2 linked regions of the Oryctolagus cuniculus genome follow. The protein of the gene in region 1 interacts with the protein of each later gene in a biochemical or structural test. Links are inferred from orthologs where the notes say so. Each region holds a gene or a part of one and is shown in the gene's direction. Other genes may lie near its edges.

The links. The genes of interacting proteins can lie anywhere in the genome.
Region 2: the proteins of TDRD3 (region 1) and TOP3B form a complex in vitro, tested with the Homo sapiens proteins (2 studies listed by BioGRID and IntAct, with this or other methods). The link is inferred for Oryctolagus cuniculus from reciprocal best matches to the Homo sapiens genes TDRD3 and TOP3B.

Annotation. Positions count from the first base shown.
Region 1 is NC_091440.1:52,155,064-52,162,301, reverse strand, and holds part of TDRD3 (tudor domain-containing protein 3), read left to right. Parts: intron 1-3,652; coding exon 3,653-4,500; intron 4,501-7,238. UniProt on the Homo sapiens protein: Scaffolding protein that specifically recognizes and binds dimethylarginine-containing proteins. Plays a role in the regulation of translation of target mRNAs by binding Arg/Gly-rich motifs (GAR) in dimethylarginine-containing proteins.
Region 2 is NC_091452.1:28,899,517-28,905,520, forward strand, and holds the start of TOP3B (DNA topoisomerase 3-beta-1), read left to right. Parts: upstream 1-3,204; 5' UTR 3,205-3,341; intron 3,342-5,246; exon of another isoform or gene 5,247-5,494; 5' UTR 5,495-5,642; intron 5,643-6,004. UniProt on the Homo sapiens protein: Releases the supercoiling and torsional tension of DNA introduced during the DNA replication and transcription by transiently cleaving and rejoining one strand of the DNA duplex.

The DNA of each region.
Region 1 (7,238 bases):
GGCTTGTTAAAGCCAGATACTGTTTTTAATATTTAACATATATTAACCTAGTTAATCCTGTGAGGTGTGCTCTATTATTAGTCCTGTGTTAAAGATGAGACTTGCAAAGTTAAATATTTTGCCTAAGGATATAGAATTAGTAAGTGGCAGACCCATGATATAAACGTATGTGGTCCCTCTCCAGAAGGGTATACCCTATTCTTTATGCTATCTCAAAGTGCCAGTTTGTAGGCCTCTGAATACCATTTCAAATGTCATTAGGTGTTTTAGTTTTTCTTCATTAATGGGAAAGAGATTATAATTTTAGGTCAGGATTCTGACAGTCCTAGTATACAAATGTGAAATAGCATTTGTTATTTCTTCATCTCACTAGAAATTAACAGATGCAGTTTATAAAATTGTAGCTAATGTGTTTTTAGTTACATTCTGTCATGTTTCTAAGATTTTTTTAGTTACATTCTGTCTTGTTTTTCTGGATAGGCAGTTTGGCATAGGGGAAAAATCATGGGCTTTAGCTTCAGTTAGATTTCAATTTCAGTCTGGTTCAACATTTTCTAGCAGGAGCCTTTAATTGAGGTATATTACTTTGTTTCTTTTCTTGTTAAATAAGGATAATAATGTTGCCCTTTTAAAGTGGTTGTAGGAGTACAGGAAATAATGTAGACAAAATACTTGTAACATGGAGTCAGGCACATAGTAAGGTGTTAAGTGTTAACTTCCGTTGGATATCTCAGAATAAAATGAGGATTAGTTAATACCTTGGGAAACAAAATGTACCTTTTTCTATTATAAAATGCAGGGACAACTGCTGATTAATTGAATATTCTGCAAAAAGTATTAGTATTTTAAGATGTGCTGATATCTTCATATATAGACTCTATTTGTGCAATAAATTCATTCTGAGTGATTCTTTCATTTCAAATGGTGATATAACATTGTGGTCAATTATCTTCTAAACATGCCTTTTGAAATTCATGATCTGATTAATAGAAACATTCTATTTCAAGTCACACTAAACGCAGGCAGCATTCTTTGATTTATGTTTTCATTACCTTGATCTTTTAGCTTTTCACAGTCTGTCTGCTTTGTAATCAATTTTTATATCATTTTTACTGATTTTCTTTCCTTTTTTCTGCTATTTAATATTAAATGTTTGTGTTTTTTTTTTCATCTCTTCCCTTTAGATCATTTAAAAAAGAAAAAGATGATGTATTTTCTTTTTTGTTTTTAAATTACAGTGGTGTTTTCTTCTTAAAAACTATTTTATTTTATTTGAAAAGCTAGAAAGAGAGAATCTTTCAATCACTAGATTAATCCCTAAATGGGCTAGTCCTAGGCTAGGCATTTGGGGAATGAACCAGTGGATGGAAGATCTTTCAGTGTCTGACACTTTGTCTTCCTGATTTTCAAATAAAATTCAATCATTTAAAATAAATAAATACAAATACCTTTGTCACAATTTAGTATTTGAGTATATTCTGTTATTTATTAAGTAAATTCCCTCTGTTTCAGAATACTCTTTAACTCTGACTTTATTATGTAATTACCAAAGGTAAAATGCACTGGATTTGAGGAAATCCAAGAATGGTAAAGCATTTAAGAACCTCCCTTTCTTGAGTATGATTTCATTTTGGATTGAAATGGATATATTTGGAAAGTATCTTCTTTTAAAAGTACAGTTTATTTAACTTATTCTTAGGAGGTATTCTTAGTTATTAAAGATAATTTCCTTTATAGACTTTACTCTCAGTATATTATCTATGCATAGTAAAAAAATTAAATATGTTTATTATTGGTAAAATTACTTCTTTCATTCTGTAGTCTAATGTGCACTACTTCAGTAACTGAAAAAGAGGTAAATGGATTTTTTCCTCTACTCTTTTCTTTCTTTCTTTTTTTTTTTTTTTTTGACAGGCAGAGTGGACAGTGAGAGAGAGAGAGAGAGAGAAAGGTCTTCCTTTTGCCGTTGGTTCACTCTCCAATGGCCACCGCGGCCGGCGCATCGTGCTGTTCTGAAGCCAGGAGCCAGGTGCTTCTCCTGGTCTCCCATGAGGTGCAGGGCCCAAGGAGTTGGGCCATCCTCCACTGCCTTCCCGGGCCATAGCAGAGAGCTGGCCTGGAAGAGGGGCAACTGAGACAGAATCCGGTGCCCCGACCGGGTCTAGAACCCGGTGTGCTGGCGCTGCAAGGTGGAGGATTAGCCTATTGAGCCATGGCGCCGGCCTTCCTCTACTGTTTTCTAAAATTGTTTTTTGATAAAAATAATTTGTTCAAAAATTTTTGTTCACTTTTCTAGGACAGTACATTTGATATGAGGGTGATTTGAATGCATAAATGAAGAGATTCAATGTTAGTAACAGTAGTGATTAAAATATACAAAAATTCTTGGATCTGGAACCAAAGGAAGAAAATTGAAAAAAACTTTCCAATACAGTTTCATAGACTCAAAGCACTCCTTAATCCTAAACTGTAGAGTAGGAAATCTTTTATTCATTTATTTTAAAAAAACAGAAGTCAGATTCTTCCATACCTACCAAGCCTAGCTGCACCTTCACTCTCTATGTCTGTTTATCCATTTCCAAGTAGTACCTGCTGTCAATTTGATAGGTCAAGAAAATTTACTTTTTTTGTAATAGGATATCTGATAGACCATAATCTAGATATGGCAGATCTAAAGATACTTCATATCCTTAAAGTTCTCTGCATGGTGGTGATGCTTAAAAAGAACAGAACAGAAAAGAAAAGGTAACTCTGAAAAGCAAAGGTTGACGTGTCCTATGCAGAGATAAAGGCAAACTCAAAGATTTGAGGAGGAACAGTTTTGCAAAGGTCTTTGTCCTTAGTGTGCTGTACATTGAGATTTAATGCTATAACTAGTACTCAAACAGTATTTTTCACTTTATGTTTCTGTGTTGGAGCAAACTGTTGAAATCTTTACTTAATGTATGCTAAACTGATCTTCTGTATATAAAGAGAATCGAAAATGAATCTTGATGTGAAGGGAAGGGGAGAAGGAGTGGGAAAGGGGAGGGTTGCGGGTTGGAGGGACGTTATGGGGGGGAAGCCATTGTAATCAATATTCTGTACTTTGGAAATTTATATTCATCAAATAAAAGTAAAAAAAAAGAATGTGATTGCTAATGATAACTATACATTTCTAAGTTTGAATGAGATTCAAAGAAATGTTGAACAAGGTTGTAGTTGTGCAGTTTCCTAGCCACAGCTGAGTTAGCAGTTTGCATTTCTTTTTCTTTAATGTTTTGAGAAATGGATTACCAGAGTAGATATCTATATAATCATAAGAATGCAAACATGCAGTGATGAAGACAAATAGTTTTTGGTTACCTACTCATTTTTTATAGTTCACATCATTTCTTTACTTCATTAATGAGGCCAACCAGGAAAACATAGGAAATACAGGTCTCTAAGTAACCACAGAGGATTTAGATATTGAGATGGTTCTCTCTGTCTCTCTCACATTAACTCTGCCCGTCAAAAAAAGAAGATATTGAGGTGAGAAAATGGAAGAAGACCTTAAAATAGTAGTAGTTGCATAATTATTTATTATGATGATAATTTTAGGCACTTAAAATGAGTAAGTACTAATATTGTCTTCATTTTAATGTACATATTATATACTTTTACCTTTCAGAGCCTAAGTCACAGCCACAGCAGCTTCATCAGGGTCAACACAGATTGTCAAATACTGAACAAAATGGAGTAAAAGACAATAATCAACCACGACATCTCCTGCGAAATGATACCAGGCAGCCAAGAAATGAAAAACCTCCTCGTTTCCAAAGGGACTCCCAAATTTCAAAGTCAGTATTAGAAAGCAGTTTACCTAGAAACAGAGGTTCTGAAAGACCAAGTACGTCTTCGGGATCTGAATTATGGGCTGAAGAGAGAATCAAGTGTGATCGACCATATTCTAGATACGACAGAACTAAAGATACTTCATATTCTTTAAGTGCTCAGCACAGTGATGTTGCTTTTAAAAAGAGAGATAACTCCATGCAAAGCAGATCAGGAAAAGGTCCATCCTGTGTGGAGGCTAAAGATAATCTACTTCCTCAAGAATCCATAGATTATAATAATCAAAAACGTGGAAAAAGAGAAAACCAAACAGCTAATTCTGACCATTTTTATGACAGGAAATCACGAACAATAAATAATGAAGCTTTCAGTGGTATAAAGATTGAAAAACATTTTAATGTAAATACTGATTACCAGAATCCTGTCCGAAGTAATAGTTTCACTGGTGTTCCAAATGGAGAGACAGAAATGCCACTGAAAGGAAGACGAGTAGGACCTATTAAACCAGCAGGACCCATCACAACTGTACCCTATGATGATAAAATATTTTACAATAGTGGGCCCAAAAGAAGATCTGGGCCAATTAAGCCAGAAAAAGTACTAGAATCTTCTATTCCTTTGGAGTATGCAAAAATGTGGAAACCTGGAGATGAATGTTTTGCTCTTTATTGGGAAGATAACAAGGTATGGGTGCTGTAAAAATATTATATACTAATATTACTAAATGCATCATCCTAGTGAGACTTTATAGAAAGCTATATTTTGAGGCCATGAATTTTGTTCTACAATTGTACCTGTTTTAAATCTTGGAACAGATTTCTAGACATATGATTATAAAGGAGACAGAAAAATATTTAATGTTTTTTATGGGTACTTAGGCAGAATCTGTCTATAAGATTTGTTTACATTAGGTTTGGTTTTAGTTTACATATCTGAAAAGTATTATGAAAGTGATTATGTGAAATTGAACTTTATTTCACTTAGCAGCTAAATTATAAATGTTTGCTTCTGCTCCTAGTAAAATTAAACTGAGTTACAAGGAGGAAAATCAATTCAGTGGCACAAAATGAAATTCTGCAGATTTTTGCTTAAAGAAAACACACACATTCAACCTACTTTAAAAAATTAAGAGCATAAGGGCTGGTGCTGTGTCTCACTTGGCTAATCTTCCACCTGTGGCGCCGGCACCCTGGGTTCTAGTCCCGGTTGGGGCTCTGGATTCTGTCCCGGTTGCTCCTCTTCCAGTCCAGCTCTCTGCTGTGGCCCAGGAAAGCAGTGGAGGATGGCCCAAGTCCTTGGGCCCTGCACCCACATGGGAGACCAGGAAGAAGCACCTGGCTCCTGGCTTTGGATCGGCACAGTGCAGTGGCCGTAGCTTCCATTTGGGGGGTGAACCAATGGCAAAGGAAGACCTTTCTCTCTGTTCTCTCTCTCTCTCACTGTCTAACTGCTTGTCAAAAAAAAAAAAAAAAAAAAGAAAAAGAAAGAAAGAAAACAAAAACAAACAAAAAAAATTAAGAGCATATAAGTTATTTACCTTAAGGTAAATAATTTAATTATTGTTTAATGAATAATTTAAGCATTTTTTAGTTCTACATTACATGGTGACTGAAAGGGAAAGAAGAAAGTATGGGAGTGATGGGGGAGGGACCGGCACATCTATGCATCAAGCAAAAACCAGGACAAGATGTGGAAGACCCACACAATGAGAACAGGAAAAGGAGAAAGCAGTAAGCCTTTGGAGAGAAGGGCCTTTGCACATGTTTACCCTTCTTCCCAACACACTCTTCTGACAACTGTTTTTATTCTTGAGGGCTCAACTCAAACATCATTTCCCAGAAGAAGCCCCTCCCTTCTGCAATATTTTCTTTCTCAATCAGAAACTTCTTCACATTTTAAAACCCGTAACACTTTATATTTTTAGTTTTCATTTTTGAATTTATAAATTCTTTCCTCTACCATATTAAGTTTTCTTTGAAGGCAGGATTATATCTGGTTGTTCTCTGTAGTTCTGCTCTTCCTATAGTATAGAGTTTTCATAATTATATGTTGCCTTTGTTAAGTGGTTAAATGTGGAGGAGGCACTTAAATAGGAAAAAAGAACAGTGGGCTGGCGCTGCGGCTCAATAGGCTAATCCTCCGCCTGCGGCGCCGGCACACCAGGTTCTAGTCCCTGTCGGGGCGCCAGATTCTGTCCCAGTTGCACCTCTTCCAGTCCAGTTCTCTGCTGTGGCTCAGGCGTTCAGTGGAGGATGGCCCAAGTGCTTGGGCCCTGCACCTGCATGGGATATCAGGAGAAGCACCTGGCTCCTGGCTTCGGATCAGCATGGTGCGCTGGCTGCAGCGTGCTGGCTGCAGCGGCCATTGGAGGGTGAACCAACAGCAAAGGAAGACCTTTCTCTCAGTCTCACTCTCACTGTCCACTCTGCCTGTCAAAACAAAACAAAACAAAAAAACAGTGGGGGGCCCTGGTCAAAACAAAACAAAACAAAAAAACAGTGGGGGGCCCTGGAGATATCAGCAGGATAATAAAAACAGATGTAAGCAACTTGGAAAGCAGATACACTTGTCTTTACCATCCAGACTCTTACTCTTTCAACTCAGGCCACTTTCCAAAATTCAAAAACCTTGTGATGTGGGTAGTGGGAGATACCTTATACTTAGCTATGTTGTCCTTGTTGCAGAGTCAAGAAAAAGTGAATAATTGGAGATCATTTATCTATTGAGCCAACAGTGTCCACCTTATAGGGAGTGACTGCTGTGTCTGATGCTTTTGTGAAAGGTTGATTTTGATGAGGATGGAGAAGTTTTATGTGTTGGACAATATAGAGTTGCTGACAAGAGCAGGAGAAAAAGAAATAGGTTAGAGTTCAAGCTCAATAAATTAAAAAAGGCCAGGTAAATGACTCAGACCAAGTCTAAGCGTAGTACCCTGAGTATGAAAGGCAAAACCAAGATGGTTAATCTTTATACATCAAAACAAACCCTGAGGATCAAGGGTATGTGTGTGTATTGTGTTTGTCTGCCAAAACAAAATATAATACTGTTTTTGGCAAAGATAACATTTTCTAGAACCTCTTCAATATTTTTTTCTGCAGTGCTTGGCATCCTATAAAAAAATGAGCCATGATTTAAAAAAAATAACAGAAAGAGATTATGAATGACTTCCCAAAAGCAAAGTAACAGAAAAGAATAACAGGCCCACAGGTATTCAGATAACTGGACTTAGTAGACAAGTTTCTTTAACAAATATTAATTGAGAATTCAACACACCATAATTGAGTAACTGCTAAATCCAGGTGCTTGAGATATATCAGGTAGTTCTGGCTGTGCTATTGCCCACACGCCTTCACATACCTAATAAGATTATTAATAAAGCCTTAATCTTAATTATAATTGTGCGTAAAAATCAATAATGTTGA
Region 2 (6,004 bases), on another chromosome or scaffold:
GCAGGGCAGGGAGCTCTGGGCCAGGTCCCGATTGGCTACTTTCCAAGACATTCCCTCCTAGCAAGATCATCCTCACAACTCCGAATATGACCTCATTGCCACACACACAGGCGGCAGGCCCCAGCTGTCCAGAAACAGCCAAGGATAACAGCAGGCACCCTGGAATGCTACTCACACCATCACTGCTGGCTCCCTACCTCACACCACATGTGCTGTGGTGTATCAGGTAAAGCCACTGCCTGCTATACCAGCATCCTGTATGGACACCAGTTCAGGTCCCGGCTGCTCTACTTCTGATCCAGCTTCCTTCTGATGGCCTGGGAAAGTAGTGGAGGATGGCCCAAGTGCTTGCACCCCTGTATCCACATAGGCGACCAGCAGGAAGCTCCTAGCTCCTGGCTTCAGTTTGGCCCAGCCCTGGCCATTGCAGCCATTTGGGGAATGAATTGTGGATAGAAGATATCTCTCTCTCTCTCTCTCTCTCTTCATAAAATGAAAAATAAATTATTTTTAAGTTAATTCAAAATGAGTCTACTGCATGTAAGGCCTGGGCAGGGGCTGGAGCCACCAGGCCAGGCCCCTGGGAGCACTGAGAACAGATGCCCAGGTATCCGAGGTACGGTTACCCCTGGGGTCTCAGAGCTGTGCCTGCAGCACCCCACGCTGTCTGAGAGCTTTTTTTTTTTTCTTAAAGGTTTATTTACTTATTTGAAAGGCAGAGATATATAGAGAGAGGAGAGAGATCTTCCATTCACTGGAAGTGACATGGCCACAACGGCCAGGCTGGGCCAGGTTAAAGCTAAGATACAGCAGCTCCTTCCAGGTCTCCCACGTGGGTGCAGGGGCCCAAGCACTTGGCCATCCTCTGCTGCTTTTCCCAGGACATAGCAGAGAGCTGGATCAGAAGCAGAGCAGCCGGGACTCGAACTGGTGACCACATGGGATGCTGGCACTGCAGGCAGAGGCTTAACCTACTGTGCCACAGTGCCAGCCCCATCTCAGAACATATTACAGGTGCTGCCTGCCGACTCGAGCCTTCACCAGCCGGGGCTGGTACCACACACGCACAGGACAGGGCCGATTCAACCCTGCACACTCCAGGCTGCAGCCTCCTTAGCAGAGTGAGGGAGGAGGCCGTGATGGGGACCATGAGAGCCTCGTGTCTCGTTCCCCTCCGGGGCTGAAGCTTCACGGAGGTGACACGGAGGAGAGACGTGACAGATCCGAGCAGCCTTGTCCCCAGCCTGGAGCCCAGCAGGAAAGCCGTGCTGTGTTGCTCAACTCAGAGCCTGGGGACTGAGCTGGGATCCCCACTGGCTGCTTTGGGTGCTTATGGATGCACAGCCTGGGACTGTGTCCTGGCTGAGGCTGGTACCGGGTTGCGGTGTAGCCACAACCATAACCAGACACACTGAGTAGGGAGGAAGAGGAGAGAGAGAAGGCCAAGGCCATGAAGGAGACACCCCAGGGCTCTGCCTCCTGGAGCCCCAGGGTGGGGGAACCGCTCACCCTTAAAACAGGCACCCTGCATACAAATACCTCCCTAAGGCTCCCCGGGAGCATGACCCAGGTGGTGTAGCGTGAGGGCGCAATGGCAAGGATCTCCCGGCAGAGGGCGCAGGGCAGCGGCAGACACCCCGGCCTCCAGAGCGGAGCCCCCCACGCCCCCTGCTGGCCCCTGCGGGAGCTTCATTAACTGCACCCAGGAACTCTGGTTTTGCGCGGCTCAGAGCCCACCTCAGCCGTCACCGCTGTGCTGGGGTAGGGGTCGGCTGAGGCCTGGAGACCTGCAGGCAGCCGGCGGGGCCTGGATCAGGGTGGGGTGACCTCCAGCTCATGTTGAAGACTGGTAAGAGGCCGGCGCCGCGGCTCACTAAGCTAATCCTCCACCTAGCGGCGCCGGCACACCGGGTTCTAGTCCCAGTCGGGGCACCGGATTCTGTCCCGGTTGCCCCTCTTCCAGGCCAGCTCTCTGCTATGGCCCGGGAAGGCAGTGGAGGATGGCCCAAGTGCTTGGGCCCTGCACCCCATGGGAGACCAGGAGAAGCATCTGGCTCCTGCCATCAGATCAGCGCGGTGCACCAGCCGCAGCGCGCCAGCCACGGCAGCCATTGGAGGGTGAACCAACGGCAAAGGAAGACCTTTCTCTCTGTCTCTCTCTCTCTCTCACTGTCCACTCTGCCTGTCAAAAAAAAAAAAAAAAAAGACGGGTGAGGGCCGCATGGACTGATGAGCACCGCGAGAAAATAACGAGGCAATCCGTCCATAATCCTAACACTAACGGTACTTATATCTTTTTCTTAAAAAAATTTTTTTAAAGATTTATTTATGGGGCCAGCGCTGCGTAGCGGGTAAAACTACCGCCTGCATCACCAGCACCCCTTATGGGCGCAGGTTCAAGTCCCAGCTGCTCCACTTCTGATCCAGCTCTCTGCTATGGCCTGGGAAAGCAGTAGAAGATGGCCCAAGTCCTTGGGCCCCTGCACCCACATGGGAGATCTGGAGGAAGCTCCTGGCTCCCGGCTTCAGATCGGTGCAGCTGCAGCCGTTTTGGCCATCTGGGAAGTGAACCAGCGGATGGAAGACCTCTCTCTCTCTCTCTCTCTCACTCAGCCTCTCTGTGTAACTGTGAGTTTCAAATAAATCTAAAAAGAGAATCTTCTGTCCACTGGTTCCCTCCCCGAGATGGCCACAACAGCCAGGGCTGAGCCAGGGCAAAGCCAGGAGCTTCTTCCAGGTCTCCCATGTAGGTGCAGGGCCCAAGGACTTGAGCCATCCTCCACTGCTTTCCCAGGCCACAGCAGAGAGCTGGATTGGAAGTGGGGCAGCCAGGACTCAAACTGTCACCCATATGGATGCCGGCACTGCAGGCGGTCACTTTACCTGCTACGCCACAGCGCCGGACACAAGCACTTTTATCTTCCAGGTGTTCTGCACCCATCATCCGTTCGTGCATCCCACAGACGGTATAGCTTTGACGAAAGCCTGCTGCACACACGTCTGTAGCTTTGTTAGTAACCATCACAATCACTGGCACGATGGCTGTCATGACTGGCTCCCCGTAGCTGAGAAGAATCCGGGTGGAGAGTTTGGGGAGCCCCCTTCGGACAGCGAGCCCCCCGGGAGTCTACGCGAAGCTTTGCGGATCCCCTCAAAGATGGCGGCGGGGATTCGGGGCGGTGCCCCCGGAACGCTCGAGCGCCGGGACCCGCAGACACCGTCGGACGGGGGAATCGGACGGACGCGGGGACGCCCGAAGCGGCCGGACCCGGAAGTCGGGGTTGCAGTGGCCGCCCCTCCCGGGGAGCGGGAGCCGGAGACGAGTCGCGGTGGGGCCACGGGTGAGCAGCGGGCGCCGAGAGGGGCTGCTCGCGGAAGCAGGCAGCGCAGCCTGTCTTCAGGCCGGTGTCCTGAGTGCTGGCCGGGCTGAGGAGAGGGTCCCGGGCCGGGCCTCGCGTTCCCGCTCGCCGGGGTGGTGGCGGGAGGCGGTGATGGGCTGCGCGCTCAGCCTCGCGCTGGGCGGGGGCCGGGCGCTGCGGGCGCTGCCACTGTTCCTCCTGGCGGCCTCCCCCGGCTCGCGGAGGCGAGCGCTTTCTGTCTGAACCTCCCGGGCCGGGAGGCTGTGCCGTGGTCGGCGCCCACTTCCGGGCGGTCTAAGGGACCCGGGTTCTCCGCTCTTTTCGGAGTGAGCAAAGTAGCTGGGGTCCAGGGGCAGTAGTTTGTCGGAGCGGGGGAGGGGATGGCTTCGTCTTGCCCCTTCGCTTCCTCGGCCTGTGGGAATAGGACGCGAAAGGCCAGCCCCACCTGGGCGTCATGGCCACTGAGCACTGGGGGTCCTGTGCCAGGGTCACCGACACTGGCCCCTTTACTCGTGATCTGGAGGGGGAAAAATGTAAAAACTGACAGTCCCTGCCCTTCAGAGTTGTTGGCGAGATTAAATGAAACAGTGTTGATGGCCGTGGCGTGCCCGGCCCAGAGGAGCTTAAGAAAGGGTTGTTCCTTTTCTGATTCTTTGGGTATAGGGTGTGGGGGATACCCTCCCCTGTCCACACTGTGCACTCGAGAGGTGGCCTCAGCGGTCTTGCAAGGTCGGGTGTCCGATGAGCAGGTACACCCAGAGCAGGTACGGCAAGCAAGCTGTGTACTAGCACGCAGGGCCCTCATTGGCTGAGTCCTGCGGGTGTACACTTCCCAGACCTCCCTGCGCTACAGAGTTACCTCCTGCACTCACTGTAGTCTCCCCCTTGGGACTTGGCTACTCCGGAACAACCAGGAGTTTGCCTAGTGAAGTTGCTACCTCTGCAGGTCCCCGCTGTGTTGAAAATGGACCACCAGACCTGCTGGCGAATTCCTCCTCTTTCCATGTTTACACTTTTTCGGTCCCATTTTGACTCCTATTCTTTGTTCTTCAACCGTTTGGCTCAGGACTCCAGCTCAGTTCTGAGAGATGAGGATTGAAGTTACAGCACTGTTCCGTTTTCCACGGTATCCTTCTAGCCAGCCTGTAAGGGGGTCACCAATGCCCGCCTTCCCTGCCGGTTTATTGACTATGTTAGTTAGCCCGTGTGATGGCCCATCAGGATTGTCCTCCTAGTATCCTCTCTCTGAGGGCATCCCGAGAGTATGGGATATTCAGGCATCCCTTATCCAGCGTCCTCCGCCAGCAGCCCATCCCACCTGCCCAAGCCACATTCCACGGCTGCTCTGTAGGTGGGGGAGGGGCCAGAATTATTTTTTAAGACTCTTTCTTCTTTCTTTCTTTTTTTTTTAAGAATTATTTATTTGAAAGAGTTACAGAGAGAGAGAGAGCCAGAGAGAGAAAGGTCGTCCATTTTGCTGGTCCACTCCTCAAATGATCACAATGGAAAGAGCTGAGCTGATCCAAAGCCAGGAGTCAGGAGCTTCTTCCAGGTCTCCCAAGCAGCTGCAGGGGCCCAAGGACTTGGGCCATCTTCCACTGCTTTCCCAGGCCACAGCAGAGGGCTGGATCGGAAGTGGAGCAGCCGGGACTCGAACCAGCACCCACATGGGATGCCGGCACTGCAGTTGGCAGCTTTACCTGCTACACCACAGTGCCGGCCCCTCCCTGATTTGCATTTTTTTAAAAAAAGATATTAGAACCTGCAACCCCCTCCCCCCCAACCCTGACACCATTGGTTTTTCTCTGTGGAGATTCCTGTGCCCTCTGGCTGATGCATCAGGAAAGAGTACATCCGGGTGACTCTCGCATGTCTCTTCCCGTTCAGGCTGCACCATGAAGTTTGTCAAGGGCTCCTGGTGGGACTGACTCAGAAGGACCTCCCAAGCCCCCTGATTCTCATCAGAAGTCAAGAGGGGAGTTGCCTTTTCTTCCTCCTCCCACTCTGGGCTCTGTCTCACGAGATGTCTCATCTTTCCACACCTGTGCCCGTCCACTGATGGTTTTAGGAGCTCCCCTGTGTGTCTCCCTCCTAGCTGTTTGTTTGAAGTGTGAGATTTCTCCATCTTTCCCCAGGGAGATTCTGATGCAGCCTCTTTTTAACCAGCTCTTCTACTGAGCTAGGAACTCCTCGGACGCTTGAGTGTTGTTCGGGCTACCGCCAGGCCTCCACTGGCAGGATCACCCGACCTGGGCATAGACCCGGACGTGAAAGGAGACCCGTGTAAGTGCATTGTCTCCCAGGGGCTCCCTCTGCTGGCGGTGGGCCGAGCACTGGCAGGCTGGCCTGCCGCTCATCCTCCACTCGACTCGAGTCCTAATCCCAGTCCCACTGCGGAATGTTGGATGTCAGCACCCCGTTAGCCCTCGCCTAGCTCCGTCTTGGAAGTAGGAAGTCAGACTGCAGGCTTTGGCCAGCAACAGGATTGAACTCGGTGCACCCTCTGGTTGACCATAAGAGCCAGTTTCTGGCCATTTTGATCCAATTGGGCTTTTTTTTTTTTTCTTTTTTTAAAGGCAGCAGCTCAAGTGAACACTCGTGTTGGTAGAGCAGGAACATGAGCAGGGGAAGTGGATTTCGGAAGC